Struthio camelus: one gene and its partner. The protein of the gene in region 2 purifies or fractionates together with the protein of the main gene of each other region. This does not show direct contact. Links are inferred from orthologs where the notes say so. Each region holds a gene or a part of one and is shown on either strand. Other genes may lie near its edges.

The links.
Region 1: the proteins of AKIRIN2 (region 2) and IPO9 purify together in Homo sapiens (affinity purification with mass spectrometry; 3 studies listed by BioGRID and IntAct, counting the BioPlex papers as one, with this or other methods). This does not show direct contact. The link is inferred for Struthio camelus from reciprocal best matches to the Homo sapiens genes AKIRIN2 and IPO9.

Annotation. Positions count from the first base shown.
Region 1 is NC_090965.1:2,997,841-3,013,028, reverse strand, and holds the start of IPO9 (importin-9), read right to left. Parts: upstream 7,748-15,188; coding exon 7,579-7,747; intron 1,218-7,578; exon of another isoform or gene 1,065-1,217; intron 1-1,064. UniProt on the Homo sapiens protein: Nuclear transport receptor that mediates nuclear import of proteins, such as histones, proteasome and actin. Serves as receptor for nuclear localization signals (NLS) in cargo substrates.
Region 2 is NC_090944.1:49,342,125-49,357,675, forward strand, and holds the start of AKIRIN2 (akirin-2), read right to left. Parts: upstream 6,078-15,551; 5' UTR 5,624-6,077; coding exon 5,416-5,623; intron 1-5,415. UniProt on the Homo sapiens protein: Molecular adapter that acts as a bridge between a variety of multiprotein complexes, and which is involved in embryonic development, immunity, myogenesis and brain development.

The DNA of each region.
Region 1 (15,188 bases), on a different chromosome or scaffold from region 2:
AATGTTACAAAAATGTATATTTTCAGCTGACAGAAAAGAACTTCGTGGGGAATTCATATTAAAAAAACCTTGCTGAAATCATACCCTACCAGTGCTTTTTTTTTTCCTTTTTGTTTAAGGAACAGGCCAACTCTCCTGTCAAACAAAATCAGATAGATTTAACAAGAACAGATCATATCAAACCGTATTAGCTGTTTAGCATCCTATTATGTTATAGACACTGGCAAACTTTTTAGTGATCTGCTCCAAGAACCTTTCTAGGGATTGAAGTTAGATCGATCAGCATATAGTTTGCTGTCTCCTCTTCTCTTTTTTTCAAAAATTTTTTTTTTTTAAAACTCTTTTTTCTCCTTTTCATTGGCTGGGAGCTTTCTATCTGTACTGCAGATAAATGCAATTCAAATGCATCTCTTCCTAAGCGCTTCTTTCACTTCCATTTTTTATATCTGATACAACAGAAACATCAAGTCTTCCTCCCAAAATAAAATTTGTAAAAACAAAAGATTAGCAACTTTTAATAGAGGGCCTGATACATGGGGCATTTAGCAAATATATTTCATCCCTACTCTGTTTCACCTCTCCATTAAGGAGACATTAATAAAATCCTGCTCTCAAACTGTCCTCCTTCACAACCAAGCTTCATCTACTGCATAACCAGGTGACATAACCTACTAGCTCTCCACCCACAACTTTTCTGAGAAATGAAGGCAGACCAGACCAAAAAAAAATTATTATTAGACAAGCAGGGAGGAATAAATGAGCAGGACTTTCTAGGCAATCAGTGCTCTTCACAGCCTAGCTTGTTAAAGTCAGCCAGCGCCAATTAAGTTCAGCCTAATAGGACCACACTCAAATGATTCAGGAGCAGCTACAGGTCCCTCTCAGTTGTCTCTGCTGGGGGGCAAAGATAAGCACTGGCTGAAAAACAGGCCATGGTAGTTGTCACAGCCAACCCAGGTCAATCCACTGCTGCATGATTGCCAGCACTCCGAACTAAAACAATGCAATTGTGCCAAGACCAGATCCGACAACTTCAGAAGTATCAGAAATTAGGTTCTCTTTACCCAATGTCTGCCCATCCCTTGCGCCTCACAGTCTTTAACAACACGGTCACACACGGTGTTTTCCACAGGACCAGCGTTCATTGGCATCATCAGAGAGTAATTCAGGTTGAAAGACACCTCAGAAGGTCATCTTGTCCAACCTCCTGCTCAAAGCTGGGTCAGCTACGAGGTCAGAGCAAGGCAGAAGACGGAAGGCATTTGCAGATAGGAAAGGAAGAAAGTCTGGAGTTAATAGGAAGAAATATTGAGTAACTACCTAATGTTTAGTTGTAATTTTTACTCACTATATGAATTCAAACTCCACAGTTTCTTTGAAGTCCATCAGCATCCATCACGAAACCAAATGACTGCTCCAGAAGCGTTCACTTATTTTCAGGACACCTTTGAAAACTACAGCTACATCTTCCCCATTTCTCAGGGAAGAACAGAAAGATTACAGTCAAGCTTCTCAAATAGCTGTGGTGGTTTCAGGTATCTCACTTCTAAACACTCATCACAACTTTTCACAAAAGTCAACACGTTTCTTAGCATTTCACAGCGAAAGCAATTTGCTGCTGTGAGTAACCAGTCTGTCTGAAAATCGTGCATCATGTGTCCCAAGGAGAGTGCTTCCTGTTTTGATTTCCCACTAGGACTCCCGGTTAAAAGTTCAGCTCAAGTAATCCATTCACAGGACTTCCATCCACCTGTGCCCATCATCCACTCCACTGGAATTCAAGTTACAATCAAGACACCATCTATAAGACTACAAAGTGTGGGCACATTTGTAAATTGTCCATAATCCCTGCTTCCACAATACTAGGTTATATACTAGGTTATGTCAAAAATAGCCAAGCTGAAGATAGCCCTAGAAATAAATGTTCTATCTTCAAAAAGGGGAAACAGAAACACACAAACTAGACAGACAAAAGAAAGGCGAGTATCCAGTCTGCAGCCATTTGTGTATCACCAGCACAAGAGCCAACAGCTCAGAGACTCAACGCTGTCACTGTAAAACTCAAATTTGTTACATACAAAGAAAAAACAGCGTGCCCTTCCCAATTATAGTGCTATAACATCAGCCTCAGCTGCAAGTATTTTTCAAATGTATAAGAAGTTGGCATTAAAATTCCATATCAGCATAGTTCAGAGGAGCACATTATAGACACTGTTCCTCTTAACAGGTTAAAAGTACGATCCCTCCTTTTGGACAGGCACCATACACCTCATTTAGCAGAGTGGTCACTACACATGTTCCAGCGTTCTCGGAGAATGCTTAGAGGCAAAACCATCTCCAGTACAGCAAGAATTGGAGAAAGAGACCTTTCTTTTTAAATGTTACAGAATTGTTTAAGTCACAGTATGTTAGCCATTGTATATACACATATGCCATAAAAGGTGATGCATGAAGGGCTTAAGTTAAGTGGACAAAACAGGGAATGGGAACGCTATCCCCACTTCACCACCAGGAAGCCAACAGCAGAGTCAAGTCACAGTAGAGGGACATACAGTAGTACCGTTCAACCACCAAGTTGTCCCTTTTACCCCTACAAAAAAATTGAGTAGTCTTGACCTGGCTAAACCCTGCTAGCACAAGGGAGCATGCAATCCATAGCAAGATTCCCCCCTCCATGAGAGCCGATTGCTATATTGGCTTAACTGTATTACACAACCGAACTCCCAAGTGGCTTAAGAAAAGAGGCTAGGGCAGAACAATACTCCCCCCAATACAGTTCCCTAGCAGTCTCTGGATTAAGACCCTCCTGAAACAAATGCTGTATCCATACCAGTATGTTTAATGGTTCTTAATGACTTTTTCCTCCAAAAGTGTCAAATCACATTTAAATTATTTCTACCTGTAATATTCAAAGCATCAACAGCAATGAGTTCCACGGTCTGTAAACAAAAAAAAACAAACTACTACCTTTTTACTTGTTTTATGTTCATTTTTACCTGATGCTACCTTTGCTCTTGCCTTATGAGAAGTCACAAATAACCACTCCTCACTCACCTTCTCTGTCACTTAGGATTTTAGCAACTCCATCTCTGCTAGCTCTTTCTCCGGCTGCAAAGTCAATTTATTTGGTCTTTCTTGGAGCAGCAGCTGTTCCACCCTTCTGCACATCTCTGCTGCATTTTCACTACTCTGCTTTATCCCTTCTGAAAGCAGCAAGCCAGTAATGCATGCTGCACTCAAACCATAGAAGCATGAGGAATTTGCTGTCGCGCTTTGTTCTCTGTTCCCTTCTTACCGCTCCATTTGCCTTGCAGAGCAGCGAATGGACATTTTCAGGGAACTCCCCACACTAACTCTGGCATCTCTTCTCCAAGTGGTAATAGATATTATAGCCCATTACTTTTTAGGTATCATTTGGGCTGTCTTCTCCTCCTCCCCAAACGTTAATTTGCATTTATCAACACTGACTTGCATTTTCCACTTGCACATGCCACCACTCACTTTTGTGAAATTATTCTGCAATTCTTTGCCACCAGTTTCCACTTCCAAACTGAATAGCATAGTACTACCAGCACCACCACTGCTCACTCTTTTCCACATCACTGATGGACGTGTTGAACAGCACAGACCCCAGTACAGCTTCATGTGGGACCTTAGCTATCTCCCTCCAGTGGGGAATATGACAAGTCACTTCTACAAAGTCCTGTATCCAAGCTTTTAATTGGTTATTAATTCAAGACCTGTCCACAGCTGTTTAATTTCTGTGAAAAGTTTCTGAAAGGAAACTTTCTAAAAGCTTTCTGACAAGCCCAGCACTCCTTCAAACAGCACTTCTATTAAACATACATTGACTCTGCCACAAAAATCACATGTATCCAGGTCTACTCGTTCCACTTCTTGACATAATTTTAAGCACTGCAGACAGTGCAAAAGCCATACCTGATGACCTATAACCACCCCAACATCCATCCCTCTATTCCTTACCTCAGAGTCCTTATTAAAAGCTGACCTCACAGTTACTCACCTACCCTTATCTGGTCCCTAAATCACATTAGTGGCAAGTTTTATAACATAATTCATAGCACAGTAATTTAATATTTGAGGGCCTTTAAAACTCCTGGAGATTCATCATGTAGCACTTGCTGCTTAAAGTAAACTGACCAAGTGAGACGTCTCCTACTCATGCTTCAACTTGACATGGATTCTCCAACGTGCCTGCTGTAAAGAGGTCTTCCAACACAGCAACCTAAAGGAATAGCAACATCAGGAATTTAGCTTTTCTGTGGTCCCTGAACATACCTTTTCCACTTCCAACATCTGGTGGCTATGTAAACTCTCTGAAATGCTTTCTGCTTCTGCTATATTTCGTGTCTTTAACAAGTCTTTCCTCAATTTTTCTGGCCTACCTCATATATTTTTCATCAAAAGTACCAACACTTACGCTCTTTTCTAAGGCCCTCATGTTTACCTTCAACAGCTTCTTTCTGCTTAATCATACTAGATTTTTGGTTTCTCTAAAATATTTTTGACAGACACAATCTACATTTCTTTACCCCAATAATAAGGTGTTGTTAAACATTTTATTCCTTTAGCTCCTCTCTTAAGTTTCCTTTTTGGCAAGTTTCTCCATATCAAAGTACAGAAAGGAAAAGATAGCAATACTCTTTCCACGCTCCTTGACTAAGGCAAGAGAGAAGGAATCACAAGAAGCACAGAATAACTCAGGCTGGAGGGGACCTTGGGAGGTCTCTAGTCCAACCTCGTCAACAAAGCAGGGTCAAAAGGATCAGACCAGGTTGCTCAGAGCTTTTTCCGGTTAGGACTTGAATATCTCCAAGGATGGAAACTGCAGAACATCTCTGGACAATCTGCTCCAAAGCACGACTGTCCTCACAGTGAAAAAAATTGCTCCTTATATGCAAACCTCTCTTGTTTCGATTTGTATCCATTTTATCTCATCCTTCCCCACTGCCCTCGATGCCCTAACAACCTCCTCACAGCGTTCAGAAGCTACTGTCAGGTCCCCTCCTGCCCCAAAGCTTTCTCTTCTCTAGCTGATCATCTTGGGGACCCTTCACTGAACCCAGTCCAGTTTACTGAGGTCTTTGCTGTAAAGGGGCTTGCAAAACTGGACACAGTATTCTAGATGTGGTTTAAGAAGTGCGGATGAGAGGCCTAGTAACTACTTTTGATTCCGTTCACACAATCAAGGATGCAGGTGGCCTTCTTTGCTGGCTCACATTCAACTAATCACTAAGATCCCCAGGGCCTTTTCCGCAGAGCTGCTCCCCAGTCAGTGTCCTTGCAACGGGTTCGTCCTTCCCAGGTGCAGAACTTTGCATTTGTCCTTGCCAAATATCATGAGGTTCCTGTCGGACCATTTCTCCAGCCTCTCTACTACCCTCTGGATGGCAGCCCTGCCATTAAGCATATCAACCAGTCCCTCCCCAATGTGGGGTTATCTGCAACCTTAAGGAGAGTGTATTTCTTTGCCTCCTCCAAGTCACTGGTAAAGATGTTAAACAGGACAGGTCCCAAGAGAGACTCCTGCGGTACTGGGATTATGACTGCAGAGAACTGTTGCATGATTTTAGGATATTTGTAAAAGAGAAGGCACAGACAACTCCATTCCTCTTCCCCTGAATATTTCATTGAAGAAGAATGTATCAAAAGTTATCCACAAACCGTAATTTTGTTGCCTTTCTAGGCTCTCAAAGGGACCTTAATGACATCTATCATCAAGAGACTGCTAAGAAAATGTTCTTTTCTGGAAATTTAACTGCTACTCAAACTATCAGACAAATGTGGTTTGCTTTCTTGTGCTAACATTCAGATTATTTAAAAAACACAAGTTGCTGCTGAAGAGCATGCAATGCAAGGCTATGCAAGGCAAGAGCCCTACGGGGCAATGAACCTCTTAGCAATTCCAGAATCACACTACTGTAATGCCATCTAATCACTGATTAAAACCTCCAACAGCTACGGTGGCAACACACAAATTTCCTAGTCGTGCTACAAGGAAGCCTTAATCTGAGAGAGTAACACACATGAAAGGACTGCATAATAGGAAACGTGATCAGTTCACCTTCCTTTCATCACCCTCAGTTTCATTTTCAGGGTAACGTAATCACGATGCTATTCTTGACCCATTTGCACCCTTACATTTTGCCTTCTCTTTACTGTAAGTTTCCTTTGATAGCATTTCTGAACTAAAGCTGTGGAGTAGAAGAACTAGAAAATACTTCATAAACAGCTTTCCTACTTTAAGGTAAAATTTCCAGAAGGGCCCATGCGGAGAGGAGACATCAACGTACACAACTTGGAAACAGGACCTACAACATCTCACTCTTCAGTGCCTAGCTCCTGTAACAGAGGGCTACCAGCAAATTTCCCACTGGCTTTGACAAATTCCACTCTTCTGGGACGGGTCCTAAAACAGGAGCCTATGTGAAATAAAATACAGCCATCAACAACATTTTAAGTGTAGCTTCTCCCAAGAGAAAAAACTAAGTTCATGAACTAGTGTACTGCAACCACAAAAAGGTCAAATGAGTACAGGAAGAACCAGAGACAGTGTTTGAACCGGAGGCACTTGCTCTTTTAAGCACTAGCTTTTGAAAGTCACAAGCCAGTTGCCATCCAGTTCCAGTGTTGCTTATGTCCTTACCACTCCACAGTTAACACTCAAACACCCAGAAGCTCTAATGGAGGAGCTTCAGATTAAGACAAGGGAATGGCTACGTCTGACCATATCCAACCTAAACAAGCCACTTACAGGTGAAGACCTGCAGGACGTGGCCGCACACATGGGCGCGCAAACTTCTGGAAGCAGAGAGGACTCTGCGAGAGCGGGACAGACCCGCTAGACAAAAGGCGCTGGGGGAAGACTTTCAACGACCACTGCGTGAACATCCCGGGGGGATTCTGGCTCAAGTGGAAAGAGGTGGCCAAAGCAGCAGGCCTGCTGCATCGCCAGCCACTCTCAACCCCTCCCAACATCCTAGTAGCAGTGAATTTAGACCGCTCCATCCTTGCTCACCTCCCTTCTCACCTAGCTTGCGAGCAACACATTGTCCAAAGGCTGTCTCCAACCCCGACCAGAGTAGCGCCCAAACACCCTGAAGAAACTGGGCCGTGTGTCTCGGTGCAACACCCAGCAGCTTCCCCAGCAGGCTGAAGCCCGTAGGTGCGCCTGGCAAAAATTAAACACATGCTAACCCGCAGGTGCATTTCCGAGCTGATGCGTAACTCGTTTAAAAGAGACTGGGTGCAAAACGTCGAATCTGTATGAAAACAGCTCCCGGGGTATTTCTGCTTTCCCCGCGGGCAAGAAAGTTGAGGCTGGAAGTTTCGAGCGAGGTGCTCGGCGCTGGGCTCGAGCAGAGACGCCCGGTGCGCTCGGCCGCTGCGCTGCGAGGCGATGGCGGCGCCTCTCCGGGGCGGGCACGGCGAGGCGGCCCCTGCCCCGGGCCGGGCCGGGCCCCGCGCCGCCGGCCGCCCGCCCGCCCGCCCGCCGCGGGCCCTGAGGGGGAGGCGCCGCCACCCGCCCGCGCCCGGCCCGGCCCGGCCCACACTCACCCTCCGTCACCTCCAGCACCTTCACCTGCTCCTCGGCGGCGGCGCGCACCGCCTGCACCGGACACAGGATGCCGGTGAGCGTCTCCACCAGCGCTTCCTTCAGGCCCTGCGCCACCGGCCCCGGCCCGCCGCCGACCGCGCCGCCCGCCGCCGCCGCCGCGCCCGCCATGGCGCCCCCGCCCCCCGCCGGCCGCCGCCACCGCCGCCGGCCGCGCGCGGGCTACGGGCCGCCGCGCGCGCCAAACGCACGCACGCACGCACGCACGCACGCACGCCCCGCCCCCCGCCGCGCGGCGCCCTCGCCGCCGCCGCCGCCGACAGGGCCCCGCGGCCCGGCGGGAGAGGCGCCCCCGCGGCCGCCATGTCGCCCCCGCGGCCCGCAGCGCCCCCCGCCCGCCCGGCGGGGAACTGCGGCGACCGCGCGCCGAAATGGCGGCGGCCCCGGCCCGAGCCGGCCGGCGGGGCCGCAGCCCAGCGAGCCGCGCGGCCCGCGCAGCCCCGCGCCCGCCTGCGGCAGCGCCGCTTCTCGGCAGCTCGGCGGCGGCCGGCAGGAAGCGCCTCCGCGGAGGCGGCTGGTCCGGGGGCGCTGCCCGGGCTGAGGCCTCTGGAGCCGGCAGAGAGAAACGGGGCTGCAAAGGCCCCAGTTAGAGTCACGGCAAAAATTTGCTGCGGTGGTTGGCAACGGGGGGTCAGCACGAGTGCCGAGGGGGCCGCTCGCCCCCGCGGGCACCTCTGCTTCCACCCGCGCAGGGTGCCGCCAGCCCAGCGCTCGGCGCCCCGCCGGCCTCACCGGTGCCAGCGCTGCCCTTGGCCCAACGGGAGGCTTGTGATTTTTACAGAGCTCTTAAGCAGCCCTAAGAGATGGTTTAGCTCAAGCACAAGGAGGAGAAAGCTTGCCATGAAAAGCCGGGGCCATCTGCTAAGGGGCATAGAGGTAGCGTCCTACGCGCAAATACTTCAATTTGGCTTATAAACGCTGTAAATTCACATCTGCGGCTGCTTTTAAAAAGATGCCGCCAGTGCTGCCAAAGCGCCTGGCTGGCCTGGGAGCAGGCCCAGCGCTTGGTCTGGGCGCTGCAGCAGGGTGCAGGGCGGCAGGTTACAAGCGCGTGGCTCAGGTGGGTCTGAGCCGCGGCACAGCTGGGAGTTAATTTAAGCCTCCAGTTCTTGATTCATGTTCGGAGGTTTGAGCATCGCTGCACGTGATATTTGGAGGTAGCAAAAGAAAGCAGAGCGTTGAGGATAACTTCCTGACCCAGGTGGTGGAGGAGCCAACAAGGAGAGGTGCACTGCTAGACCTTGTACTAACGAACAAAGAAGGTCTAGTTGGAGAGGTGAAGGTTGGGGGCAGCCTTGGCTGCAGTGACCATGAGATGGTGGAGTTGAGGATCCTACGAGGAGGGAGCAGGGCAACGAGTAGGACGGCAATGCTGGACTTGAGGAGAGCTAACTTTGGCCTCTTCAGGGACCTACTTGGAGAACTCTCATGGGGTAGGGCCCCAGAAGGAAGGGAGGTCCAGGAGAGCTGGTTAATATTCAAGCATCACTTCCTCCAGGCTCAAGAGCAGTGCATCCCTCTGAGGAAGAAATCGAGCAAAGCGGGCAGGAGACCTGCATGGATGAGCAAGGAACTCCTGGCCAAACTCCAACAGAAGAAGGAAGTCCACAGAATGTGGAAAAGGGGACAGGCCACTTGGGAGGAATACAGGGACGTTGTCAGAGCGTGCAGGGATGCGGCAAGGAAGGCTAAGGCCCAGTTGGAATTAAATCTGGCAAGAGATGTCAAGGATAACAAGAAGGGGTTCTTCCAATACATCAATAGCAAAAGGAAGACTAGGGAAAACGTGGGCCCGCTGCTGAATGGGGCGGGTGCCCTAGTGACAAAGGATATAGAGAAGGCAGAGTTGCTGAATGCCTTCTTTGCTTCAGTCTTTACTGCTAAGGCCAGTCCTGAGGAATTCCAGACCTTGGAGATAAGGCAGAAGGTCTGGAGAAGGGAAGACTTTCCCTTGGTGGAGGAGGACTGGGTTAGAGATCATTTAGGCAAACTTGACATCCACAAATCCATGGTCCCTGATGGGATGCACCCACGAGTGCTGAGGGAGCTGGCGGATGTCATCGCTAGGCCACTCTCCATCACCTTGGAAAGGGCCTGGAGATCAGGGGAGGTGCCTGAGGCCTGGAAGAAAGCCAATGTCACGCCAGTCTTCCAAAAGGGCAAGAAGGAGGAGCCAGGAAACGACAGGCCTGTCAGCCTCCCCTCCATCCCTGGAAAGGTGATGGAACAGCTCATCCTGGAGGTCCTCACTAAGCATGTGGAAGACAAGAAGGTGATCAGGAGTAGTCAGCATGGATTCACCAAAGGGAAATCATGCTTGACCAACCTGATAGCCTTCTGTGATGGAATGACGGGCTGGGTAGAGGAGGGCAGAGCAGTGGATGTTGTCTCCCTGGTTTTCAGCAAGGCTTTGGACACTGTCTCCCATCACATCCTCCTAGGTAAGCTCAGGAAGTGTGGGTTGGATGAGTGGCCAGTGAGGTGGCTTGAGAACTGGCTGGATGGCTGAGCTCAGAGGGTTGTGGTCAGTGGTGCAGAGTCTACTAAGGAGAGTCTAGCTGCAGTGGAGGCCTGCAGCTAGCAGTGTCCCCCAGAGGTACTGGGGTACTGGGTCCAGTCTTGTTCAACATATTCATCGATGACCTGGAGGAAGGGACAGAGTGCATTCACAGCAAGTTTGCTGAGGATACTAAACTGGGGGGAGTGGCTGACACCCCAGAAGGCTGTGCTGCCTTTCAGAGGGACCTGGACAGGCTGGAGAGCTGAGCGGAGATGAACCTCCTGAAGTTCAACAAAGGCAAGTGCAGGGTCCTGCACCTAGGCAGGAATAACCCCATGCACCAGGACAGGCTGGGGATTGACCTGCTGGAAAGCAGCTCTGCAGAGAAGGACCTGGGAGTGCTGGGGGACAACAAGTTAAACATGAGGCAGCAGTGTGCCCTTGTGGCCAAGAAGGCCAATGGGATCCTGGGGTGGGTGCATTAGGCAGAGTGTTGCTAGCAGGTGGAGGGAGGTGATCCTCCCCTTCTCCTCAGCCCTGGGGAGGCCTCACCTGGAGTACTGTGTCCAATTCTGGGCTCCCCAGTACAAGAGAGACAGGGAGCTCCTGGAGAGAGTCCAGCAGAGGGCTACCAAGATGATGAGGGGACTGGGGCATCTCTCCTCTGAAGAAAGGCTGAGAGAGCTGGGCCTGTCGAGCCTGGAGAAGAGAAGACTGAGAGGCGAGCTCATCAATGTGTACAAGTATGTGAAGGGAGGGTGTCAAGAGGATGGGGCCAGCCTCTTCTCCGTGGTGCCCAGCAACAGGACAAGAGGCAATGGGCAGAAACTGAACCACAGGAAGTTCCATCTGAACACGGGGAAAAACTTCTTGACTGTGAGGGTGACAGAGCACTGGCACAGGTTGCCCAGAGAGGTAGTGGAGTCTCCTTCGCTGGAGATATTCAAAACCCGCCTGGATGTGATCCTGGGCAATGTGCTCTAGAGGACCCTGCTTGAGCAGGGGGGTTGGACTAGCTGATCTCCAGAGGTCCCTTCCAACCTTGGCCGTTCTGTGATTCTGTGAAAATGGGCAACCCTCATGCCTTACGAGGCAGGAGCAAGGCAGTTACCGATGGTCATGAACAGTGGGTAAAGCGAGAGCCGCGTGTGCACGGAAGAGGAAAGTGTGCTCTATTTCCATCTCTCCTTTTTTACAACTGTTTATTTAGGAAGTGTCAGCAATTTTACAAATCATTACAAGTACCAAAAAAAGCAATATGAACACATACAAAAACAGATTTCTCACTTGAGGGACATTATGTGGTGATAGAGGTGCATTTTGGCACGGTACTAGCAGGTCCCACTCTTCTTGGAGCACGGTACTCCTGGGGATGACTGTTTGGTCTTTATTCCTCTTCAGCAAAACCACAGTGAAACTGTTGACAGTGATCCATATATAAAAATAGCCCAATACAGTGGGTGAGTCTAGTAAGTGCTATAAAGAAGTCATGCTAACCCCGTGTTTGGTCTGGCTGTGATAGGCACTTGTAACTCCTTCCCTATAGGTCTCTTACAACTTAGACTCCCTCCAGCATGAGGGAATTTCTGTTTTGAGAGAAAATGTGTCATTATCCTGGTCACTCTGTCAGGGTTTTCTTTCTGCTGTAAAGCTACATGAGGGTTATCGAATGATCACCTGGCAATAAACACGCAACCATTAAGAATATTTGGTTATTAGTCTTTTCCTAGTGCTATTTAATAAATAAGCGTACCTTGCTATTTGTGCCCAAGTCCATGCTCCCGTAGAGACATACTTTCGCCATCCACCCATTACTCTTGTTGTGTGTTTTGCTGTATTCCGAGTCAGCTTTGCGGGCCTCCTCTGCACTGAAGTCCCTTCCACTGGGATAAATGTGTCCAGTGAAATTTTCCCCAGCAGTACATTTTGAAATGTTCTTGTCAAGAAAGCTGCAAGCAAATTCTGATATAAAGCATGCATATCAATTCTGGAATTCTAGAAAAAGTTTTCTACAAGTAGAAACGACAACTCAAAATACTACAGAAACACAAGCCTGGCTGTCCTGTCCTCTGTGTGTGGGCAGTGGTGTTTAGGACCTGCTTCCATTGTCCACAGCTCTCGCTTACAGTGGCTGGGCCTTAACTGCAACCGCGCCAGGCCCAGGTAGTTGCTCAGAGCGCGGTAGCTGCTCCAGAAGGTGACTCTTGACATTCGAAACAGGCGTTCAGTGGAGATTGCTTGACTCACTCTCCAGACGCTCCTCTCTCCTTAGACTAGATGTTTTCCAGACAGCTGCAGTTAGGTAAAATGATTCCACCACAACACCAAGTTAAAAACATCCCAGCGCCATGAAATTAGCTTTTACTTTCTAAAAGAGTTAGGAAAACTGGGTTGGCATCTTTCCGCCTAAACTAAACTGGGCCAGAGCACAGGCTCAGGCAATGCCCAGCACTGTTTCAGTCCCATGCCAAAAAGCGCTCTCCCAGGCAATAGCCAGCGAGTTGGGGACAGCAGAGATCATTCCCAATAAGCGATACAGGCAAGACTATTCTGGGTTGGTATTTTTGAGCAGACTTCTGCAATATGGCTACAAACCACGCCACAACAAACGCATTCACCAGCAGAGAAGAGACCCTGTCTCTTCTTAATTATAGGCACGACCATGATGTGCCCGTACACCCTTTGCCTCCCTGAGCTTCCACATTCCTTGCTAGGGCTAGAGACGGTGAGGAGATGAGGGATGACTTTTCTCTCTTGTGCTTCCAAATCCAAAATACTGCTTCTACTGGAGGACCAAATACATGTTTATGCAGGGTGTAGCTTTCACAAGCCCAGGGTAATCTAGTCATCTTGGGCCTGTCCTAATATTCTGGTTTAGTGGACTCCGTAGGTAAATTCCCACTGCACTAAAATCAATGATACAGTTCTAGGACTGTTTGACCAGACTTCCCTCTAGTACCCTTGTTGCTGTCTGGCTAACACTGTAACAAGTGACCGTCCATGTGTCTGTATAAAGTACTTATGATCATTTTTGTCCCTTCTTACTAACGAGAGCTGTGTTTCCTCTGTATTTCTATGATTTTGCAGAAAATGAGGATGCAGTTTGGGGATAGGAAGGGTATCCCCAAAGCATGGTTTATCTAGCCTGTGATCCTTCTTTTTGTCCAAGCCACTGTACAACCGCTCTGAATGCTCCAGCTTGTCCTTCCATTTGTACAAATAACATTTGTTTGAATCTTCCAGGCTTTTTCAGGTTTGAAGTCCCACCTGTTTGGTACGTTGCATGATCTCTTCACGCACAGTATCTGCGTACATACTTCCTCCAAAGCTAGCAAATGTAGAGCTCACATTTCAAGTGCCATATTATTTTGCTTCAAAGCTAAAAGTGTTCTTCCACTTATCTTTTCTTTAGACGTGCTTTAGGGATATTAAGTTCATTCTCTGCAAAAGATTATAGTCTTAGCGTGAAAAGATATTTTACAACGAACTCATTTCTTCCTGTGTTTCAGTTCATGGTTAGCACAGGGGAAGCCTTTGAGCTCCCCTGTGGACCTGCACTACAGAGGACCCCCATGGAAAGATGCACAGCTGATATGGGACTGGTGTAACGAGCAAAAATCCTCCAAAAGAAGTAAGGGCTAACACAAGGGGCAGAGACAGCATCAGCCTGAATGAGGAGGATGAGACATTACATGATACATAGGCACACTGGCATGTTTGGTGGGGGGGGAGCGCGCTCCAGCGTCTCCAGTACGCCAAGGAAATCTACGCCTGGCCAGTCCCCAGCTGGATTAAGATTTAACTTCAAGCAGCAACAAGAACATGAAACCCCAAATGCCCAACAGATACTGAAGCAGCCTACGCGCTCTACAAACATTCTACAACACTGTTTTATCCTTAATAAACCCTGTGTGATGGAGAGCTCATCAAGCTAACTGCATATGCTGTAGACAGGGAGCTACCATTTTTACTGCATTTTACAAAATAGATGTTTGTAAGTTTTTAGATGCCTAGTTCTCATAGATTCAGGAGCTGAGCCCCCACGCTGTTAAAAATCTGACCCGGTATTGCAATTCAAAACTCAAGGACCTTTAAAAACATTACTGCAAGTAGTAGGTTTGACAAACATTTCAGAACTTGGAAAATTTGAGATACGTCAGGTGCTTTCATATACAGATGACGCTGCACTTTTTTTTTTTTTTATTTGGGGGTATGTCAATGTTTCTTTCCAACCATATTTAAGCAAACATTCCTCGCTTCACTTTGAATTTTGGAACCAGAAGCGTATCTCGTACTCCTTTGTTTTCTTCATAAAACATCTGCTTGTTCTACCCAAGTTCTTTTTACTGGAACCCACTGATGCTCATGTTCCATTTTTGTTTGTCTCACATAGAAGCTATATGTTCAACCTCGGGGATTATTAACCTAGTGTGACTGCTTTATCTCCTGTTCTACATCTAGTTTTTATTCTCTTCTTGGTGTGGGACTGTCGCCTCCAAAGACTGATGTATTTACATCCTAGAGGACAACTCTCTAAACGTGGCTTTTTCATTTCTCCTGAACATAGGATAAAGCTATTTTTCAGGGCTGTACCTCAACCCTTCTCTTGGAAAATTATATTTATTTCCAGATCACAGGACTGAAGAGTCATCTCGACTTCTTAATTTTGCTTCCAGGTAGCTGCTTCCTCCCTGTATGTTCTGGAGACATTCCCTGCCTGAAACATGTGAAAAGTGTGTTCCTGTCCTACATACACATCTCTCCTGCTGGCAGAAACAGCAACTGCAACATTTGTTGTTGCTCTTGTTCTTCGCTGATCTTTTGTCTGCCCTGCCAGGAAACTGGCCTACAGCTGAAGTCCCTCACTGTAACTCCCTTTTCCCTGAAATACGCTAATATTTGAACAATGCTCCATGCATCACAGTCAGCTGTAATAGAAAACAGTTTTTGTGTCATTCTGCAAAATTAACTGCATTTATTTCATTGTTAATATGAATATATATGCATTTAATCAGTATTAGACCCGCTTATCCCCATCCTTGGGATGGAGTA
Region 2 (15,551 bases):
CCAAGAGTATTCAACATTTATAGTCACCACAAGCACCTATATAGAAAATTCTCCAATAAATTAAATTAGCAAGTCCAGATGCAACCATTATGTGCTTTTTCTTTTTTCTAAAGGGGTGGGAATATTTTGTTTTTAAACCCCTAATGATCGCTGTGGTACTGGAGCCCGAGAAACTTGGCATCTTGCCAAGGCAATTTAGCGATAGATATACATGCCAATAAATGTTAACAAAACAGAAATTAAGCAGAAAAAGATGTAACAAAACCAACACATCACATTCCAAAGCCAGGAGACTTGTTCCGTTTAGAACTCAAATCTGCACTTGGCTACTGTAAGACTGAAAGTTTCAGACAGAAGTAGTCAACTTTCCTCAAAAGGGGAACTCAAAGGTCAAAGGAGGACAGTCAAAGGCAAAGATTAACATTTCTTCCTATTGAAATAGGCCCAAGTTATTTTCTTGCACAACTTTAAAAATTGATGTTAATTAGGTCCTATGTTTTTTCAGATTGTTCTGTGAAAGAGCAAAGCATACAATGAAGACAAATTCCATTAGCTTCTATTCGTAAATATTCAGTTACCTCTTCTGACAGATGAGACTCTTAAAACCAAATATTTGTCACCTTTAAGTATAAACATTTGCCGGCAAACTGAAATTATTTCATAATTCATCAATTTTTACTTATCCTGATAGCAACTTTCTTTTTCGAAGACTGGAGGCAAAAACATGGAAGGTAATAATTCAGTGCTGAATTAACAAGGAACAGCAGTCCTGAAAGCTAGCCTTATCCACAAGATGCATGCAGTAGCAGCACACTGCTCTGCAGAGCAATCAACACACCTCCATTCGGAGATAAGTTTGTAGGAAATAGTCTTACTTTTCACACCTATCCAGTCAGTGCCCTCACTTGTTGAGGCTGCCATTAAAGTAGCAAATACCAATTACGTATACCCACTGCAAAACAGTGCATAAACCCAAGCTTCCAGACGCCATCAAATGTTTGACATTACCTCTGCTTGGATTTCAATCGATAACCTGAGGTGAAGGACTCTTCTCAATAGCCCCACCCACTGCAGCTTTTGGTTTGCAACATCAGTTAGTTACTGGGGAAACATTCAGGCAGATGACTGCTTCAGATGGAGGAAAAAAACTGCATGGTCAGATGCAAGAATTTGCTTGTGGATTTTAAAGCGATTTCACTAACTCTTTTTAAATACAATACTCCTATTGATTCTACAAAGAACTAGCTGCAACGCTGATGTGGAATCAGTAGTATAGAAGAAAGCTACCGATCTCAATCCGTCTTCTCAGCTACCGTGCATGATGAATTAGGAGATTTAAATTCCTAAGGTCGATATTTTTTTTCCCTCCTTCCTCATTTCTTTGGACAGTACTTCCCAGTATAGCTTCAGGATCAGAAATATCCAGACAGTGGTCTTTCTCACACCTAATTTATTTTTTTCTTCATAAATTTTTCCCCTAAGTGTAATCTTCCATTAAGGTTAAACTGCAAATAACCTGTTCTAAGACACCCATTGGGAAAAAAAAAAAAAATTACTCCACTTCTTCCCCTTTTCATCATTGAAAACCTATTTAACAGCTTAAAAATAAGACAGCATTCTGAAGACTGTAAAGACACAATGCATTATCCAACAGGCACAGGCCCAAGTCCAGTCCTCCTCATAAAGCCCACTCACTCATCCATACTTGTGTGATACGGCAATGCATACCCTAACAGAAGTTAGGGTTTCTCCGCAACCCTGCAGAGAAAAATTTTCAATCTGGTAAACATTTGTGACTACCTTCCTGCTGCAACCCAGCCACTCAAAGCATCATCAGTTCCAGGGCACCTATCCAACACAAAGTTATTCTGATCATACAGAACAGTCTCCTTTACAGCTAGAATTTGATGAAGGTAAAACTCATCTGTACTATTCAAAAAGCAGGAAATTTCTTAGGAAGAGCTATTCTTTCAATATCAAAGCCATCTTGCATCAGGCAGCCATGTTCGATATTGCTCATAGTGAAGGGAGTTTCGAAAAGATAATCCTAGATGAAAACAATGGTATCCAAAAATTACCAAACATACTCAAAAAAACTCAAGTAACAAAGCCCTCAGAAAGTATAGACCATGAAGCCACAATTACAGTTTGTCTGCCAAATTCACTGAGAAACTGGAAGTGACCTAACAGCTGTTCAAATAAGACCAAAATATTAAAATACTCTTGTGAAATATAAATTTCACCTTGAATAAATGTTCTAACAGACACAGTTTATTAGCTTATGAGCATTCTGTACAGACAACTATTTTCTCATCTGACTTCCACACTGTATCCTTAGTTCTCAGCCCCCCACTTCTGTATTCTGCTTCCAGATAACTCATTTTTGAAATGATTAACCAGATGTTAAGAAGGTGAGGTGCTAACATATTCTCCACTGGTTAAAGTTGAATGGTACCAGGACACAGAGTATCAGGTGGAAGAAAAATGTTTTAGTCTGAGGTTAAAGTATCAACATCAGGTTTCACATTCAAAAATCTGGTTGCATATGAACATCAATTTTCATTAAAAGTAATTAAGGCAGACGCTCTTTCTTCAAGTGTTGGAAATCTCTGCATTACAGTAATATATTGAGAAAACTGTAAGCAAAATCAACTGAACTCTGGCTATTGTTGCTAAATTTCTCAATATAAAAGCTGAACAAGACAGTAACTCATTTGGGATCACTTTTAACATGAGACTGGAACCCTTTTCAGGCATAGCGGAAGACTCCTCAGACTACATGAGAAACAGCCATTTAAATTCCTCCAACAGCCAATGGAAAGCACACACTTCTGAGACGCACTTTGTCTCATCCCAAGTCGGAGCCCTAGAGTAAACCATCCATTTCTTCACAATCGAGAAAATAAGATTATTAGCTCAGATGTACATTTACAAGGTTAGATGAGATGAATTCCACACAATCCTTCAAGTGGCCTCTTCAAAATGATAGGCTCTCATTTTAACCACACTGAATCATATATACAGTTACGTAATATAATAATATCAATAAAGTTAATCAAAAGAGAAAAATTAAGCAAGCTCCTTCAACAGTCACATTTGCACTAGCACTATATAAAGCTTTTGCATTAAAAACCCGAGCAGCGGCTTTCACGCAAAAGCTGTGTAAATGGGCAAACCTGCATCCACGCAAAGCTTTTCTCAGGAGTATTCAGTACTGTAAGAGACATCTTGATTCACTATCCTTTACCTTTCATTATATTATATAATGTCTTTTAGAAAATAAATCCTTGTTAGTACATAATCACATTTTCAGATGAATTACAACCTGTACCCCTAAGAGTACCGGTTATCTCTTTCTCAAGAGATAATGAGGCCTGTATCTGTTTAACTTCAGCAACCATTTCAGATTTTAAGGGCTTTGTATTGATTAACATTAAAGACGGGAGTACAGGTAATACCCACAGCAGCATTTGAAGTAATATCTCTGCTGAAAATTGTGTTTGCTTCCTTTCAGCAACACGTACTTACTGGCCAGAACACATTTTTATTAGATATTCATAACCTAAGTCCTCCAATTCCCAATGAAACAATCCAAAAGAAATCCCTGTAGTGCAGCAACACCTCAGCTTCTATCAAGAATTACATTACGGTTTTAAACGTGCATCTTAAGGTACATAGAATGCTTCACTGTATTAGGGAGTGTCATCCCTCACAAATCTCATCCCTGACCGCTGACTCATTCAACATCTTTTCCCAGAGGTTTAAAAAAATGTCAAGGCACTGATGTCAAGTGTAAGAAAACAGTTTTTCATATGCCCTCTGTATCTTTCTGTGGCCCCCTACAGCAATTTTGGGGGTACTTGATTAAAAACTCAAAATGTGTGCTATTGAATACTATTCAGAACTAAATACCAAAAAAAGGACACTGTCCCACACGGACTTAGCAATTTAAACCTACCGCTTCGTAAATATGTGCAATTCTCCAGGATCAACTTTTGCATAAAAATGAGTAATGAATGCAACAGGAAAAGGAGTTCAGTTATAACAATTACAGAGGGCTCTTTCCTGCCCACAAAGGACCCAGACCTTTACCTCATCACTACAACCGCTCATGACTGCAAGCATAAACGTTCTCAAGTGCATTGCTGGAAGCTAAGGACCAGACTAACCATAGGAAGGGGCAACCGATTTTGTGTGCCCTGCCAAGTTTCATTCCTTTTTTTCCTGTCCGTACTCACTTGCAAAACAAATTTGGTTGATTTTTAATTGACACAATCACACCAGCCGACCTGGTGCTTTTAGGGCCACCAGTTGAATCATGGAGCAGAACATAAAAAGGTTTCTTTCTCACCCAACGTCTCCGAGAGGAAGACACTAATCGGTTCCATTTTATCTGCCCTAAAGGCAATTCTCGCGCTTGCACACAATCGCTTTCATCACTTGGTTTTCACATGAAACTTTAGGAACACCACAGAATGGGCCATTCGGGACCGTGACACATATTAAGGGGCTGGAAACGGAATTAGCTCTTTGTTTTATCTGCTTTTGCCCTTTTTCCCACTGGCGTTTTTGCGGGTGATTGATGACAGGCCGCGCTCTCCGCCCTCCCGCCCCCCTCCCTCGATGTCTGAGCAACGGGAGGAGGTGCCGCCGCCTCGGCTCGGGCAACGCTCAAGCCGCCGGTAATGGCTGCAGCGCATCGATCGGGGCCCCGAGGAGAGCAGAGGGGCCGGGGCCCGGGCCCCCTCGGCGCGGCCCAGCCCCATCCCCGCCCCCGCGCACGCCGCGGCCACCACCGCCCCCAGCATTTCCGCAGTTTGACTCGCCCCTGCGGCTCTCCCTGCCACATCCAGCCACCCATGGGGGGGGGGGAGGAGGGGGCAACCCACACTCCTCCAAAATCTCCTCCGTGCCCGTTCCCCGACCGAAACTCGACCTCCCCCTTCTTCCTCGGCATCGGATCAAGCCTCCCTCACCAATACCCCCCACCCCGCCCGCCCCCTTCCCTCGCTTCGGTCCCTTTCTCCGGTCTCCCCCCGCGCCGACCCCCTTCCTATGGCCACCAGCCCGCATCGGCTCAACCCGCCCCCCCTTCCTCCTCCTCCCTCCTCCCCCTCTCCTGCTGCAAACGGCCATTTCTATTGTGTCTCCGCCGCGGCGGTGCCAAGCCGAGCAAGGATCGCCCCGGCCCCCGCCGCTGCCAGCCACGCAGCCCCAGAGAAAACGGCTGGAGGGGGGACGCGGGTGACACCCCAGCCTCCCCGCTTGCTCCTTCTCCTCCCCCCCGCTTCCCCCCGCCGCCGCCGCCTCCAGCCGCCTGCCGGCCCCCTCCCTGCCCAGCTCCCCCCGCCGCCGCCGCCCCGCGCCCTCCCCGGGGGTGGGGGGTCCCGGGCCCGGCGGGGCCGCCTCCCTCACCTGTGGTGAGCCGGGACGACACCTCTCCGAAGGGCGAGGGCTCCATGCGCAGGTATTTCTGCGGGGAGGCGGCGGCGAAGGAGGAGGAGGAGGAGGAGGCGGCCGAGGCCGGGGCTGACAATGGCGCACATCGCCTCCGCTTCGGGGACGCCGGGCTCAGCAGCGGGTCGAAATCCAGAGTCCTTTTCAAAGTGGCGCCGCAAGCCATGGCGCGGGGCGGAGGAAGGGGGCTCGGAGCGAGGGGCAGGGGAGACGGCGGCGGCAGCCGGCCCTGCCCAGAGGCTCCTTGGCCGCTGTCTGGGGCGGACTAGGGGGGAGGGAAGGGAGGGCGGCAGGGAAAGGAGGGGGCGGCTGCGTCAGGGCCTCCGCCGCCTCCCCGTCGGCCTCTCTCTGGGGAGCGGCCCCGGCCCCCGGCGGCTCCGGCTCGGCCGGCCGGATCCCCTCTCTCGCCGCCCGTCCTGCCCTAGCCGGGCCAATTCCGCCTGCGGCCGGTGGCGGGACGGGAGCTGGGCCGGCGGGCGCGGAGCTGGGCCCGGCTACCCGGCCCGGGGCCGCCGATGACGAGCGATGGCGACAGGGCCCCGAGCGGCGGCGGCGGCAGCGCTTCCCTCTGTGACTCCCACACCAGCAATATGGCGTCAATAACAACGCCGCGGATTCAAAAACCAGCCCCCTCCACTGCGCCTGCGCGCCTGGGGCGGCGGCGGCCGCGGAGGCTCAAGGGACTTGTGGTTTGCCTACCCCCGCCCCGCGGCTCGGCGGCCGGGCGCCCGCCGGGGGCGGGGGGACTACAAATCCCGCCGTGCCTCGCGCCGCCCGCCCTGGCTTCCGGGTTCTGATTTAAATCCCCCCTCGGAGGCTGCGGAGTGGGGTGCGGGTTAAAGGACGAGGGGATGAGGTGGGCGGGATGGCGGCGCCCAGCCCCGGGGAGGGGGAAGGGAGGTTAACGGGCACCCTCGGCGCCCCAGCCAGCGGCGTACCTTCCCCCCCCGCCGCGGGAGCCGGAGAAGCTCCGGGGAGGTCCCGGAGTCCGTGAGACACAAAGGGAATGAGAGCCGGGCCGCCGGCGCTAGGCCGTTGGGCCTGCCCGCGGCCGCCAGGCAGGCTCCGGCCCGGCCCCTCTCTTATTTATTTTATTTATTTTTTTCGCAAGTGCCGAGGCGGTCCAGCAGTGGTTCTGTCTCTGCAGGGTGCTTGCCTGCCTTCGGAATAAGGGCGAAGGGCAGTTAGTGGCCTCCGCGGTGAGGACGGAGCAGGGAGCGTGCAGGAGGCAGCTCAGAGGTGCAGAGCAGGTGGAGGTTGTGGCTAAGGGCACGCCAGCCAAAAAAAAAAAAGAAAAAGAAAAGCGTGTTGTGCTGGGAGTTGTACCTCGGTGACACCAACCGATTTTTCTGCTGCTTACATAAATGGCTTTCTGGCTTAAGGAAGGTAGTGAGGGAGGCGGTTCAAAGAGCTATGGGTTTGTGTGGAAAGGGCAGAGAATGGTTCGACTTCCTAATGGAAACAAACCGTGTTGCATTTTAGCGCTCTGGAAAAGCTAACAGGAGTTGGTAGGCCTAAAAACCTTCGACTTTTCTGTATCAACTCTGAGTTTAACTATTAGCATAAAGGCAGGCTTGCCTTTGGAAAATGAAGCAGAGTATGCCCTCAGAAAAATCTTTCAGCTTTTTATTGTTATTATTATTTTGGTTTAGGAAAAATAAGCCAGCCTTTTTCTAGGGGCATTTGATTAAGCCTTTTCATTTTTTAATATCATTTGGAAGTAAGTTTTTGCTTTACAGGTAATATGTTCTTTAATTAGCATATATTGCTAACTAAACCTTAATAGCACCCAGTCAGTCTGAAAACAAATCTTAGCCCGTGTTAGCAAAGTGGTTGTGCATCTCTTGGCATAGCTGAGGTTGTAAGAGGTGGGGTGACCTGGCTGAGCCTTTCTGCCCAACAGAAATAGAAGTAGTAATTAATAATTTGCTTTCTCTGTGACAGATAGCTCATGACAACGTTGGAACAACTAGGATAAATTTTCCTTAGGTTTACTTGATTTGGCATGGCCTAAAACTAATTACAGAAAATAGCGAAAAGATTCTTTTGGCTGTTATTTTTTTTTCCTCTGTGGAGGAAGTACTTAAAATATTTCCTTACTAAGGAGGAATTTGACAAGCCCTTCTAAAACTAAGACAAGTTCTGGTTCTCCATAACAAGGCTAAGGAAATGTACTGACATTGTTAGAGTGTTATAATTGTCCTACTATTGTTATATGGGTATAACTCCTTCTGTGGACGCTCTTATTTGGAATAATGATGGCTGTTTTTCCATTCATTTAATTTGCAATTTCCATTAAATTTCCCTAAGCAACAAGCAAATTTCCCTCATGTTCACGCAACATTCTGGTATTCTGACCAAGCACTTCACCCACGAAGACTGAGGCAAAGTTGCTCTTACAGGTTTTGAATTAAGGAAATCTTGCCTGTCTTTTGACACAGGTATGATGCGCTTCTGTAGTGTAGAATGCTCTGTGCCTGTACAGGACTAAAACAGCCAGTTCTGTCTTCATCTCTGTGTTGTGATGTGCCCATGTTTGCATGCAATTTTTGGGGGGGAAAAAAAAAAAAACACCACCAAATTTTAGAATAGTCATCACTCTCCCATTGAACTTCAGTTTTGTGCTGTTTAATATGCATTTTCTGCCTTCAGAAACAGAGAAGATTCAGATATATTAGCTCAAGTGACACCAGATCCTAAAGAGCATTCAGGTGCAATTTAAGTCAATTAAGACAGTCTGAGGAAGCAGGCAAAACTTCATCAAGATAAGCTACTAGAAAGCAAGCTTTTGCTGAGGCAGGCAGGACTATAATTGTAAGCAATTGATTAGAAACATGATTGTCCTAATCAAGAGTTACTCAGTCTTTAGGGGAGTAACTAAAGCTGACCTTTAATTTGTTGAGCTAAACTGAAATGAGTCTGATTTAAGTCAAAATAAGAATTCACACAGCCCTTTGCAGCAAATTACACCCAGCTAAACCAATGCAGCTTTGCATGTAGACAAGCCCTAAGGCAGCAAAATGTCCAACAGCAGTGACACTGTTTGATGGTTGTCAGGGAACATGTGTTTTTACTTTCATTGTGGCAGGAAACACCATAGGGTCAAAGCTGCAAACCACTGTTTATATTGTTCTTTCTTCTACTTACTTGTTATGTAACCAGCTTGCAGTGTCCTATTTTGTGCTACATAGGGTGTCTTTAGAAATCTGTGTGTTATGAGAGTATTTTTAAATGAACAGCATCAGCTAATTTCATTAATTGTAGGAGCAGGGCATAGTTTATTTACCGCTAGTTTTGTACTGTTTTTTACTGGATATGCACTTCAAGCATGACACCTGTTGAAAAGACATGTCCAGATGTGGGACAACGTTATGACCTTTGTACAGTTTTGACTGGGGTGAGAAAATAACTGTTTTAGTATATTGCTTTGGGACCACGATGAAAATGCTCGTTGCCTGAATGCTGGTCTTAATCTTTTCTTCTGTCCTCATCTCCTTCCTTCTGCCATCGCTCCGTTCCTCCATTGTTCTGAGTTTTTTGCTGTCTTCCTCTCATTCTCTTTATGTCCTATGTTGACTCTGCTTCCTCTTCCTTTTCCTTGAGACATCCTATCCATTCTGTGCAGAGTCCACATCCCAGTCCTTTTTTCTTTTAAGCTGTCTGACCGTATTCCTCCCACGTATGGAACAACGTGACACTTCACGCGGTGGGTCATTTCTCCTTAACCGGTTCTGCTCACAAGCACATGACCTCAGGTTAGCTAAGCTGGAGCTTTGTTCCATCTTACCCTAATTCAGGAAAAGTCACATTAGCAGTGTCTGCCATTCCAGTTGAGTTTGGTCATACATCTCAAAGGTTTCTTAGTGGTGTATTAGGGGTACTTTGTGCCTGTAGGCTTTATAGGCACAACGCAGTAGAGAAAATCTGTCGGATTTCAGTGAAATGTTTGTGTGGTGCCAAGTGAAAAATGATTAGTTAAGCTGAGAAAATGGGGATTAGTGCAGGAGTTGCGAGGTGGGGAAAACAGCCAAAATAAAAAATTCAGTCGCTTTCTCAGTCTGCTTTGCTGTGCAGTAACAGAGTGCTGGCAAAAGAGAAAGGATGCACAGAGGGAGGGATGAAAGCCAGAGGTCAGGGAAGGTCAGCTCTTCTTCTTTTGGTGCTGATTTATGCTGGTAAAGCGTTCCTGAAGTTAAACTCTGAACCTGCAACATGGCGTGACCTTCAATAGGGCAAATGGGATCCTTTGCAAGGAACGAAGGTATTAAGGTGTTTCTAGCACAAATACAGAAGTATTGGTGCAGTATTTCATCTGAAATAATGTATGTAATTCCAGTCATACAAATTCAGGAAAGAATAATTCAAAGTAGAATTTGTATAGAAAAAGGTGACTGGGCTAATTAGGAAAACAGGAATGGAAGACTTAGTTACTGCAAGAAATTAAAGGAATGTTTGGCCTAACCAAATAGCAGTTGAAGTTTATGATTTGTCATAAGAAATAAAGCACAAGAAGCAGATAAATTCCAGAGAATTTTAAGAACTATTTTAGTTTTAAGGACCATGCTGGTACAAGAACTGGTAATCGCTAGACCCAAACTGGAAATCACAGAAAGATTTATAACTACCAGCCGTAGGGGATTCCAGAGCAGTCTTTCAGTAGCAGCAGTATGGGTAGAAATAAAAAGAATCGAAATCAAATCTGGCTGGTCTTTAAATTAAGCTTACTATTATAAGTAAAGGGATTTATATAATATGTTGCCTCCAATGGCACGGCACTGTCAGGAGGGACCCAGAAAGTCCTTGTAGTCATTTTGCAATAGAATGTGGCAACTGTGAAGTCACAGTGAAGCTAAACTTTTTACTTGCAAGAAGGTGAAGCGCAGCAATAACCCATTTCAGTGAGTTCACCTGTATTCAGGACAATACATTGAGGCTATAAAGGGAAAATTGCTAAACTCACTGGTGTATAAGCATGAATTGTGTTAACAGACCTGGATATAGAATAATTAGGAAGCAGAGAGTAAAATTTTACAGCTCTACCTACTGCAGATATTACCTCTACAATTTCAGGAAGGTGTTGGTATTAGCAAAGTACAGAATGGCGCACTTCAACCATCTTTTGTCAGTCATGACCTTGAATAGGTTCACCAGAGTAATGAGGTGTACGGAGGGCAGTATCATGGAGAATTGGGAATGTTACTGCAACCTAAAGCAGAGTTCCTTATTCCCCAATGCCCTGCGCACCCATGCCGTTCCCTACCAAACGTGCCCTGTTGAACATTTCAGTACACAAATAAAAACTTCTGTCATGCCTGTCTTTGTTATCTTTTATCCTTGTTTGCTTACTTTCAGAGTATAAGGAGTCTGCATTTTCAAACTGCACATTGGAGGTGCCCTGCATGAATTTTTTGAAAAGCACTGAATGAAACTAAACTCTGCTTTCCTCTTGATCCTCAAAAGCTGCCACTGTTTTAGCAGAAAGAAAGAGTACTCTTATCTGCAGAGATTCTTTCAAAAAAAAAATTCATTATTTTTTTATAGGACAATTTATTGTTCATGAGTGATTATACTAATAAAGGAACAGTATGCTATTACTAACCTCAGGGTAGAATCAAGTCACCTAAGAATACATTGAACTGGAATGATGGAAAAAATTACAGGCCAAATATTAATCCTGTGAGTAATATTAAACATGTGAATTAAGAGCCACTGAAGCCAAACATCCTCTCAGTTGTGTGACTGCCGCTCAACTGTTGTGGTGGACGGGAGCCCAGGTTCTCACTGAACTCACCCAACTGTGTAAGGCTCAGGTGTAGTGAAGGTCAGGTATTTCTTCCATGCCAGGATGTTAATGAGCAAACTAACATAAAACACAGTGATGACCAAGATGTATTAACTATTCCCTACTAATTATATGGGCTGGGGAGAGGGGCAATAGCTCTTAGAGCCTCAACCAGGTTCTTAAGTCATCTCCTGCTGCAGAAATCTTTATTGTCATCCAGGGTGTATAATGGAGACAAAATGCAACTAGAGATCTTAGATGGTTTTTGCAGTAATGGCAGTTGAGGAAAAAAACAACATTTCTTTGTAAAGTAGCTTCATTGTGGGGAACGTTAACAGTTGTATGTAGAGCCTCTCTGGGAATACTCTCAGTTTTCAGAACTATATTTTAAGTACGCTTGAACTTGCTAGGCAGACGTTTCTTCAAACTTAGAGGAGGGTTTAGATACTTCTATTTTGTTCACTCACAAGACCTACCCCTGAAGTTTGGTGTGCACATTGAAGAAATCAGTACATACTTTTGGTTGCAAAACTATTGCTTCTGTGGAAATTTTGCGTGTAAGCTCAGTGGAAACCAGCTGAAAATGTCATTGTTATTAGACTCACTTTTCTCAAAGACTCACAAAGAACAAGAAAGAACTGACGACTTAAAACTCGTTATTTTCCCAGATCCTTTACTAAGGGTTGAACTTCTCTTCCCGTATTTTACCTGCCTTTTCCATCCTTCTCTTTTTTTTCCAGATAGTTTCCAACATTTTGTTTTCAGAAACCTCTCTGCCTCTGTGGCTGACCTCTGGGGTCCTTTCTGTTTCCTGGCTGATATGTGCACTGTGCCATCAACATACAACTATGTCTTAACCTGCCTCTCCACGTTGGATCAGTTCACCCCATCTGCTTCTACACCTCTGCCCACCTGTGACAAGCCCATGCAGTACCTTTCCCTTACCTTTTCAATTCGTTAAAAAAGAAAAATTGACAAAAACTATGTGTGTGCTTCCGCTAGGGAATCTTAAACTTCTCCTTTTCGAAACCTCAGCTCAGGGTGTCTCTTTTCCCCATTCTAGCAGTGAACGATTTCATTACCCACCCTCCGCTCCCCTTTTCCTCATTGTTGCCTTCGTCCCCCCTTTGTGGGCTGCCTATTGTTCTTCCCTTCAGTTTCGGGCTGCACCTTCAGGGCCCTGCATTGTTCTGCTGCTGCTTTAATTCAGCGTTTGTGTCTTTGCTGCCACACATTCTGGTCCACCCAAGCTTTCCTCTAATCACTTCCTTCCTTACCTCCTCGTGCTTTCCTCTGGGGGCTTTCATTCATGCTGCCCTTTTTGTTTTAGTCTGGAACAAAGGCCTCGGTCTTGTGAACCAAATCCACGCTGTCCTCGTTCAAATCTCTCCCTATAAAATGTACTTCTGCCATAAAGCCTATCCAGCACAGATTCCTTGGCTGAAATGTATTCCATTCGTCTATAATAAAAAAAAAAAATCCTGTTTCATAACAAAGCAGAAAGAACTGAACGAGAAGCTGGCTATGCAATTAACTTTTGCCAGTTGCTTTCTGCCAAGAGCAACATACTTGTTCTTATCCCGCTCCTTAGGATCGTCCTCCCCATATGCCTTATGTTTGTCCTTTTGTTTTGTTATCAGCATTTGGGTCCTTCCTGAGGGGTCCTGCCCTGATCCTGTGCTCATAGGTGGCCCTGATCCTGTGCACCTTTACATAGCTGTAAAGTGAGGAGTTACTTCACTGAAGTGAACAGAGCTTTGCCAAGGTTAGATTTTTGTGAAAGGAGAATCGCCACTTTTTTTTTTTAATATTAGCTAATAAAGACTGTGCACAGCTGCAGTGCAGCATTCTGGTTTTAATTAATAAAAATTAGCATACACATCTACATACACTCTTTTCCCCCTTTGCGTGCTCAGCTACTTTGAAGAAAACCTCTTTGTATGTCTTCCTGGTTATTCTATATCTTAACTTTAAAAAACAAAACAAATAAAAAATGAAAACCAAAGTAACACAAAACTCCCACGCGAACAAAAGGACTGACTACTCCCGGTGACCTGGAGCACTGGGAGAAGCTGTTCCTGCCTGCCGAGAGGAGCCGACTTCCAGGCTGTGCTCTCCGCTGCTGGGGAGCCGTCCCGTTCCCAGCCTGCTGTCCCTTCCTTCACGTTTGCACAATCTCACTGCAGTGACTTCCCAGTCGTAATTGGGGCCTCTGGGCATTATTGTGTTATTATTATTTAATAAACGACCACATAAAACATTGGTTGGCATTTAAATAAGAGTAAAGAAAGGACAGCTCTGACTCCGAGACTGTTTTACTTTCCCGTTGACTTCAGTGGAAGCGGGAGCAGGTTTTCTACACAATACCTACACTAGCACGACGCATGCTCACCTTTAATGTTTTAGAGAAGGCACTGCTTGCCGCTGTTAATGTGGCCCCAGTGCAGATGAGGGGCCAGACCTATGGCAGCTGTCAATCCCCGTCGCAGCAGGAGCTATTAAAGTAGAGCTGCAGCCTGGACGTTCCCAAGTAAAATGCACTAACAGCTTTTCTTGCCTAAGCTATCACCAGCCAGTATTCAGCATCGTTTTCTGCATTGTTACCCACAGCATGTAGCTTCCAGTGGTTATCTGAAGCGCGCAGCCATCGTGATGCTATTAAGGAGAACAAAAAATGGAACAGAACAGAGAAGAGAATTTTATTTTTGCATTGGATTATAAGTTTCAGACATTTCAGAATAAGAGTTATGATGACAAAAGAAAGCAATCTGTCCTTGAAGTGAACACAGCGGAGCACAACTCATTCAATAAGATTTTGAAAGAAAACAAAGAGTTGAAGGCCAGAACTGAGTCCTTTAGAAACAAGTTTAAAACGAGGCAGGATCCAGAATGCTTAAAATACTTGAGTGACAAGCAACAAAGAGGTGTCTGTTACTATAACGAATTGAATTAAGTAAAGAGAGAGAAAATCTCGAGATCTGCTTTAAAAAGTAGAGATTTGATGTATGGGGAGTGTAAGAAAATGTTCTTGGGCCATGCCTGGAGCCTGAATCAGCACAACCCTTTTCCTTGAAGAAAGTGAAAAGTAGACGAGGGTGAGTTCATACACCCTCCTTTTTCACTGTGGATCAAAGAAGTGGAATTTTCAGGGCTGCCAGCTTTCCAGTTTCCTGCAGTGAATCTGGAGTGCCGATTTTTTTTTAGACTATATTCTATTGTATTTGGTTTGTGTGTGCTGTGTAGGCAGTATTTCGCTAATACTCTAAATGGTCAGGTCCTATGATGGACTTCTTGTGAGATCTGAATCTTATTTACTAGTTTGTATGTGGTATAAACGTTTAAAAAGTTTTCGGTAGGAGTGAAACACCACTGCCATTTATAAAAAATATATGTATTTATGCTTCAGTTCTAAGGACTTCACCCCTCATTCTTCCCACCATTTCATTACATGCTTGCTCTCCTTGTATTATATATTAAAAGCTTCATGCAGTAGTTCACTTGCATTTAAATACGTGGACTGTAATAATTCTGTGATGTTGCTTGGAACTTTTGCATGAACATGTTATATAAAGTAAGTGTGGGCACTACAAATGCATTGCAGATTTTTCATAGATAAACTCAGTCAGAGAATGCAAATATGAATGAATTTGTGTGCAAGATTTAATATCTAAGCAGAGCTTGTAAATGCGTAACACCTGTAACCACAACTGTCAGTGCAAACAGAGAAACTAGTTTCAAGGTGTCTGTGCTGATTTAAAAGTGCTGCATTTTGAAATACCTCAGCTGAAATGGTAGAGATGTGTTCATCCTCTGGCAGGTATTAAAGTGCATAAAGTCTGTTATTAAAGAGTACAAAACTTTATTAGCAGCTGATATTCCAGAAAGATTGTGCAGGAGACTGGTGAGGACTGCCATATAAGGCAACTTGTTGCTTTTAAAGACATCGTATAAATCTTATTGTGAAACAGATTAAAAGTGCTGGTTGCTGATCTTAGGGAGATGTGTGTTAAACACGGAGATTTTTTTCCGTAGCTAAAATGGAAATGTACAGAAAGGACGGTGGATTTGGCATTAGTGGCTCTGCAGCAGGTATTATGTCTGATTTAGAAGCAGGGAGGTTTCTTGTGAAAGCGACTGCAGGGTCGTGCTGTCTAAGGAGAAAAGGTACCTGTTGGAATATGGAACGTAATAATCTTCCCCTGAAGAGAAACTGAGTGACTGTTTTTTGGTGAAAGGCCTGAGAGAAGAATATCTTAAAAATTATTACCCAAAATATAGAGAAGAAATATGTTCTGTAAAGTTTTCTGGTGCA